2 linked regions of the Lonchura striata genome follow. The protein of the gene in region 1 purifies or fractionates together with the protein of each later gene. This does not show direct contact. Links are inferred from orthologs where the notes say so. Each region holds a gene or a part of one and is shown on either strand. Other genes may lie near its edges.

What was found.
Region 2: the proteins of CDK7 (region 1) and GTF2H5 purify together in Homo sapiens (affinity purification with mass spectrometry; 7 studies listed by BioGRID and IntAct, with this or other methods). This does not show direct contact. The link is inferred for Lonchura striata from reciprocal best matches to the Homo sapiens genes CDK7 and GTF2H5.

What each region holds. Positions count from the first base shown.
Region 1 is NC_134642.1:11,847,447-11,851,359, forward strand, and holds the start of CDK7 (cyclin-dependent kinase 7), read left to right. Parts: upstream 1-1,213; 5' UTR 1,214-1,271; coding exon 1,272-1,331; intron 1,332-1,658; coding exon 1,659-1,718; intron 1,719-3,913. UniProt on the Homo sapiens protein: Serine/threonine kinase involved in cell cycle control and in RNA polymerase II-mediated RNA transcription. Cyclin-dependent kinases (CDKs) are activated by the binding to a cyclin and mediate the progression through the cell cycle.
Region 2 is NC_134605.1:53,868,013-53,871,925, reverse strand, and holds the start of GTF2H5 (general transcription factor IIH subunit 5), read left to right. Parts: upstream 1-1,461; 5' UTR 1,462-1,534; exon of another isoform or gene 1,535-1,629; intron 1,630-2,424; 5' UTR 2,425-2,483; coding exon 2,484-2,518; intron 2,519-3,913. UniProt on the Homo sapiens protein: Component of the general transcription and DNA repair factor IIH (TFIIH) core complex, which is involved in general and transcription-coupled nucleotide excision repair (NER) of damaged DNA and, when complexed to CAK, in RNA transcription by RNA polymerase II.

The sequences.
Region 1 (3,913 bases):
GGATACTCCAGATCCTTAATAAAATTTGTTGCCCTTTGCTGGACCTGCTCCAGGTGCTCCATGTCTCTGTTGTCCTGAGGAGCCCAGAACTGGACACAGCACTCCAAGTGAGGCCTCACCAGGGCTGAGAAGAGGGGCAGGATCACCTCCCTCCACCTGCTGGCAATGCTCCCCAGGATAGCACTGGCCTTCTTGGCCACCAGGACACACTGCTGGCCCACGGACAGCTTGTTGTCCACCAGGACCCCCAGGTCCTTCTCCACATCACTGCTCCCCAGCAAGTCGGCCCCAGGCTGTGCTGGTGCCTGGGGTTGTTCCTCCCCAGTTGCAGGACCCTGCATTTGCTTTTGCTGAATTTTCAAATGGTTCTTTGTCCATCTCTCCAGCCTGTCAAGGTCTTCTGAAGGGTGCAGTACTCCAGGTTATCAGCCACTCTGCCCAGCTTTGTGTCCTCTGAATTTGCTGAGGAGGCATCTGCCCCTCCCTCTAAACCAGGGATGAATAAGTTAAACCCTAGAGGGACACGACTAGGGGGAGGCCTCCAGCTAGACCCTGCCACTGATTGTAACCCTCTGGGATCTGTTGTTCAGCCAGTTCTTGATCCACCCCACTGTCCGATCATCCAGCCCACATCCCTGAGTTTGTCTGTGAGGACATTGTTAAAAGACAGTGTTGAAATCCCTACTAACATGAAGTAGACAATATCCACTGCTCTTCCCTTACCCATCCACGTAGTTGATTCTTGTAGAAGGCAATCAGGTTGGTCAAATAAGATTTGCCTTTAATGAAGCCATGTGAAATGATATTCTTGATCAACATCTTGTCATCCACATAGATATAGATGGCCTCCAGCATGAGGCATACGACCACTTTTCCAGGGATTGAGGTAAGACTGATTCACCTGGATACGTCACTGAGAATGATTTTACAAGCAGGAAAGAGACACTGACGTGCTCTCAGAGATGACAACTATTCTTAGTTACACGGGTTTTTTAGTGTTACAGACTAATTTATTAAAAAACAGCAAAGCTTGGGCATGTAGGGAAATTAATTTTCAAGTGACAACTTCTCTCTTACGAGAAATCTCTCTGAGGGCTATTATGGTAGTTTTAAATACTATATTGTAGGTAATTGTACGTAATGAAGGAACCCCGGGGCCGACTCGGCCCGGGGCCGGTGTGCGGGGCTCGGCGCATGCGCCGCTGCGCGCGCCGGGCGGGGCGGGGCTGGGCTAAAGAGCCGAGCCGGTGCCGCCGCCTGCTCCCGCCGCGATGGATGCGCGGGCCCCCGCCAGGCGCTACGAGAAGCTCGACTTCCTCGGGGAAGGGCAGGTGAGCGACCGCGGGGCTGCCCGCGCCACCGGGGCTGCCCGCGCCACCCGGGCTGCCCGCGGCACCGGGGCTGCCCGCGGCACCGGGGCTGCCCGCGCCACCCGGGCTGCCCGCGGCACCGGGGCTGCCCGCGGCACCGGGGCTGCCCGCGGCACCGGGGCTGCCCGCGGCACCGGGGCTGCGACAGCCCAGCTGGGCCCGGCCTGTGTCAGCGACGGGCCGGGCCGTGAGGGGCGCCGGGCGGTGCCCGCCCCGGGAGGGCGCGGGGGCCTCTTCTCGTTCGGTCCGCCAGGCCCTTCTCACGGCGGCGTCTCTCTCTGTCCCTAGTTCGCCACTGTTTTTAAAGCCAAGGACAAGACGAACGACCGAATCGTTGCTATCAAGAAGGTAAGTGTCAGAATGGCTTCTCAGCGTGTCCCAAAGCGTCTGGTTGCTCCTGACCTACCTAACAACTCCTTTTTTTTTTTTTTTTTTAAACCAACTTGATGGGAAATGGCATAATACACATTTTTATTTCTAGAGAAGTGTGTTTAAATGCTCTACTTAACCTGTCTGTAATGCTCACCCACCCCAGAAGAGGGAATGGCTTTGCTGTGTTTCCGAATTTGTGAAGGGTTGCACTTGACTTGAATTCAAGTCTGTGACTTGAATTTCTGGTTATTTGCTAGGTTTATGCAATACACACACGTTTCCAAACTGCAAACTTTACTGTACCTTGATAGTTGCTTTTTTTTTCCTTTTATTTTAAATCCTTCCTGCTGCTGCGCCCAAATTCCTTCAGTCCAGAATGTCACCCTTTATTAAGTTCCTTAAAATTTATAGAATATGCTGAGTTGGAAGGGACCCATCAACATCAAGTCTAGCTCTCATCCCTGTGCAGGACAATGTAAGAATCACCCCATGTGCCTGAGGCAATTGTCCAAACACCCCTTGGTGCCATGGCCACTTCCCTGGGAAGCCTGTTCCAGTGCCCAGCCCCTCTGGATGAAGAATAATTACCTAATATCCAGTCTAAACCTCCCCTGAACCGGTTTTATGCTGTTACCGCACGTCCTGTCATTTTTAGACAAATGTTTCCTGAATAACTGAATTAGCAAAGCCTTGTTCCCTGCAGCTTTGTCCATTGAGGTTGGCATCTCATATTGATTCCCTTCTAATAAGAAATGGCAGGCAGCATCTCTGTATTCTTTCCATGTCACCTGACTCTGCTTCCATTAGGCATACACCTGTCTTCTTTATGTTATGTTCAAGAGGACATCCCTGTTCAGCCAGGTTGTCCTTCTGCCTCATCTGCTTGACTTGTGACATTTAGGAAATGCCTGCTCTTGTGCCCTTAGGAGGTGATGCTTAAAAAGTAGCCGGCACTGATGGACCCCAGCACCTGCAAAAATGTTTTCCCAGGGGACTTTACTTACTAATTCCCTGAGCAGCCTGACATCTGCTTTCCTCATGTCCAGGGTTGAAGTTTTGCTGGCACTTTCCTACTGTCAACAGAATTTTTTACTCAATGGCTTTGTGATTGCTATGGCCAAGATGGCCTCAATTTCCACCTCAGTTGTGAGGTTCTCTGTTGACAAGCAGCAGATCAAAGAAGGCATCTTTTTGAGTCAGCTCCCTTATGGCCTTTTCCACAAAGTTGTCCAGGTTTTCAGAAATTTTCTGTCCCAGGCGGTACCTGTTTTGTGATGCTTCCAGTTGCTTTCTGGCAAGTTGAAGACCCCCGTAAGAAAAAGGGCAGTTCATTTAGAAGCATCCCTTAGTGCCTCAAAGAAGAATTCATTGGCATCATTGTCCTGACTGGGAGATCTATAGCAAACTCCCACAATGACATCCACATTATTTGTCCCTTGTTTTCTACCCAGAGGCTCTCAACTGCACCATTGCCAGCTGTAAGCTTTGTACATTCCAGCCCCTCCATTAGATATGATGTCACCCCCCTTCTCTTTTGTCCTGTGTACATCTCCTGAAGAGCCTGTAGCTGCCCAACAGGGCACTCCAGTCACAGGAGTCATCCCACTAGCTTTTATTCAAGTCAGTGATACCAAATCTCTGGGACTCAATCAAAGCTTTGAGCTCCTCTTGTTTATTCCTCATGCTGAGTGTATTGGTAGAGAAACATTCCAGGTGTTGTGCTTTGTAGCCAACACCTCATGAAGCAGATTGAGGTAGCCCATTAGTGTTCATTTATTCAAGTTTTGACACACCATCCTGCTGATTATCACTGGTGAGCTGGGTATTTTCCTTTTCTCCCTTCTTAAAGCCCATTTAAAGCTCTGCCAATGAGCCATGCTAGCTGCTGTGCCAGCAGCTTTTTCCACTCTGAGAAAGGTGCAGCCCATCAGGTGTTGGTAGAACAGGTGCTGAATAGATCATCCCATGGCCATAAACCTCAAAGTTTTTCTTTTGACACCAGCTTCAGAGCCGCATTTCAATCAGATAGATCTGCCTATTTCTATCAGTATTAGTTCTTGATACCAGAAGGAGGAAAGAAATCACAGCCTATGCTCCATGTACTTGAATCAATTTTCCTGGGGCCCTCAAATCTCTTTTGAGTGCCCTCAGTCTTTTGTTACTGTGTTGCT
Region 2 (3,913 bases), on another chromosome or scaffold:
GACTCTTTTTAACATGTCTTCCCTCTTTTCTTGTTTCCCAGAAAGTTTTGTTTTTCCCTTTTCTCTTGCTTGTGTTTGGGAGATTTTTGAAAAACATCAGCATTACCCCAGCATTGCCAAAATTACGGCAGACTGCTTTTTGACTTCCGTCATTTCAACCTCGTTTATCCATTCACTTCAATTGTGAAACACTTTTAAGATTTTGATCATCAGTCCTCTAGAGACAAATCTCCCACCTCCAAACTCCCTGTCTCATGACAGTTCCTTGGTTCATAGAATCACAGTACTCACATTTACTCTCTAACCACAATCTGAAATAAACATGTGGTTCAGTGACAGCAGGTGCCACAACTACTAAAATTTAGAACATGCACCTGCAAACACAGCAGGCTCCTCCGTTGCCAGGAGCTCCTGTTCAGGTCCAAGGGCAAGCATCAAATCATCAAATGTTAAGGGTCTGGCATGGACCTTAAAGATCACCTAATCCCTACATCCCTGCCATGGGCAGGGGAACCTCCCACCAGACCTTGTTTTTCACAGCCTTTTCCAGCCTGGCCTTGAACACTTCCAAGGCTGGGGCATCCACAACCTTCCTGAGAAATCTGTTCCAGTGTCTCACGACCTGCACAGTTAAGAATTTCTTTTAAAATATCTAATCTAAATGTCTCCCCTTTTCGCTTGCACCCATTATTCCTTGTCCTACACTACAGCTCCCGATTAAGTGTGCCTCTCTGACTTCCCTGCAGGACCCTCAGACACTGGAATGTGGCCGTGGGGTCTCCACGCAACCTCCTCTTCTCTAGGCTGACCTGCCACAACTTCCTCGCTCTGCTGTCACAGGGGAAGTGCTCCAGCCCTGTTACCAACCTCGTGGCCCTTCTCTGGACTTGCCTAGCAGCCCCACGTCCTTGTGATGCTGGGGAGCCCAGGTGAGGTGTCAGCAGAGCGGAGGAGGGGCAGAATCGCCGCCCCGGGCCCGCCGCCAGCTCCAGCCGGCTGCTCTGGGGCTGGAGCGCGCACTGCCGCCTCACGCTGGGCTTCTCGTGCTTAGCCACATGCAAGTATAATGCAGAAGGACCCATTTCGCACCGTTCCACAGCTGGCCCAGGCAGCTCCGAGCCCCGTCCCGCACCGGGGTGCGGTCCCCACCCGCCCGCCGCGCGACTGCGCATCTGGGGCGTATTAAAAAAAAATATATATAAAATAAAAACACTACCGCAAACACAACTTTAAACAATGCAACACGTAGACGAGCAAGGAGGCAGGCTGGGGTGGCTCCGTGCCTCTTTCCAACGGGGAGGAACAGCGCGCCCCGAGCCCCATCCCGCCCGCCCAGCGCCTTCCCGCGCCCCCGGCCCGGGCCGCCGCTCCCACCTTCCGCCTGCGCCGCGCTCCCCGCGCGGCCCCGCGCGCCGCGTGACGTCAGCGCGCCGCCGCCCGCCCCGCCAATCCGCGGCGGCTGCCGGGGCCGGCCTGCGCGTGCGCGGGCGGGGCACTTCCGCCGGCGGGGAGGCGGCGCGGGACGAGGGCGGAGGTGAGGGAGCGGGTGAGGGAGCGGGACCGGTCCGTACGCGGCGGAGGTGAGGGACCGCACCGGAGCTCCTGGGAACCCCTCTGAGCAAGGAGGAGGTGAAGGCCAGGACGGGCCAGCAACTCCGCCGGGGAGTAGAATTGTCGTAAAGAGTCTTTGCGTAAAACCGAGGCGTTATTTGTTTGGATTTGCGTGTTGGGGGTGTGTGGGGCGTGTTGTGCTTCCACATTTCCCGTGATCGCCAGTGCTGTTGTAGATGATAATGTAATACTGACTTTCGCATTTATTTCGCTTTTTGCATCGCAAGTATTTTGATACGGTACAATTTATATTTACTTTTAACTGCTTTTCTATAATATGACCTGTCAGCTTATGTGTGCACTGTATAGTTCATATGAATGTGAATAGCGTGATAAATATATTATATCATAACTTTTAGCAAACTGTTAAAATAGACTAAAATGCTTCAATGTAGCTGACTCACAGAATCGCGTAAAACAATTATTTTATTTCTTACATCTGCGGACTGGCCTCTCCAAGTGATAACAGTGACAGAAAACAGAGCATAAGCATTCAGGAAGGATTTATTGATTCTTTGCTATCAGGAAGTGTGAAACAACAAGATAGAGCTACGGGAAGAAATAAAATATATGGATCTGATCTACAGAATGTCCTGCAGACAAGTCAGAGGTTAAAACCAAACAAGAGAAACGTCAAAATCTCAAAAGCATGTTTGAATAATGTATAAACTGTTGAATTCACAGGTAACCCCAGCAATGTAACTATAGAGAGAACAGAGGTTTTAGGCTATCTCCATGCTCTGGAAATTTGTCTTTCTTTTATCCTTTATTAAAATTCTAAGAATTCTAAAGAGTGAACTCTTTTTTTCACAGTGTGATCCAAAACAGGGGTTGCTCTTGCCGACTCTTCAGCATTCATAAGAGCTGAGAAGATGGTGAATGTTCTGAAAGGTGTTCTGGTTGAGTGGTGAGTAGCAGCATTTACTGCCTCTCCTCGTGTCAAAGACTGTGTTTCTTTAGACCTGGAACTAATCTTAAGTAACTGAAGAGTCCAGACAAAAGGAGGTATTGTGGGGAAGGGTGGTGCTGAACAAGCAGAGAAAAGTGCGGCCTTTGGGGAAGAAAAAGAAGGCAATTGTGGATAGTCATAATGCCAAAGGCCCATTTTTCTGTTCAAGAGATTGTTTTCCACTTATGCCTAACCTCCTTAAAGAAAAAACTGCATATGAATATGGAGTAAAAATATGATGGTGAAAAAGTTAGAAATCACATAGTTGTAAAAATCCAGGTTATTATTTTAATTTAGCAAAATAGAGAAAAGGATGTAAAATACTTCAAATTAGCATTCACTATGAGAAATTATGCTTCAAAGCTATATTCTACCATGTCTAATGCTCCCCTAATATTGTCACGTCTTTTGAAACGTTTACAAGTTAAACTTTTAGCTGTATATGTAAGTTATCTATATGCTTGTCAGGTACAACTTAACCCTAGTATGAGCAATCCAGTTACCTTGGCAATTTTTCCTTGCAAATATTAGATGCTCCCTCTTGTTCTTTGTATTGCTTGCGAGCAGTTTCTTGCTGTTGTTTGTGAATCAAGTGTTTCTTTACTGATTCTTGAGGGAGACGAGGTAATCTTTCATTTATTCATTCCTGTTTTGTTTTTATTTAATCAGCTCTAGGCTGAATTTGGTGCAGGGTTAACATGTGGTTCTGTTTGTAGATCATATTTGAAATGAATGTGCTTGGAGTTGGTAAATGTCAGCTTTTTGGTGTAGGTGCAATGTACCTGTTTTCATATAATCTCATCTTTGGACTGAGACTCAGGCCTCTGGCTACCTCCAAAATTAAAGGAAGCATCACTCAAGATTTGTGGGGTCATATAGCGTTACATGATGTGTAAGATTTCTGCTGTACACTTAAGTCTCCTAATATGTTTGCAATCTAAAACTGCACAAAAGCAGTTCCATACTTCCAAAATGTTTTCTTCTAAACAATTTAAATTTTATTTAGAAGGTGATATCATGACTGTTCAGTTGGAGTGTGAGAAATAATACAATTCTTATATGAGCACTCTTTGTCTGTGCTATACTACTTTGAGTGAGATCTGTGTTCTCCTGTCTTTTGGTTATCCCTATACTTTAAGGAAACCTGTTTTTATGAGGCTATTGCTGAAATCAGAAATGTAAATTCAGTCTTGCCTTATTAAGGGTTGGACTTTTGAGTTTTAGTTTTGGTTTGGGAGTTTTTGAATCTGCTTTAGCAGCAGCAAACGGAAATTTCTCTGCTAATCAAGCAGCTGGTTCTACTCATTAGACTTTATTACAATTTTATTTTTGTCTCTATAGTAACCAAAACCA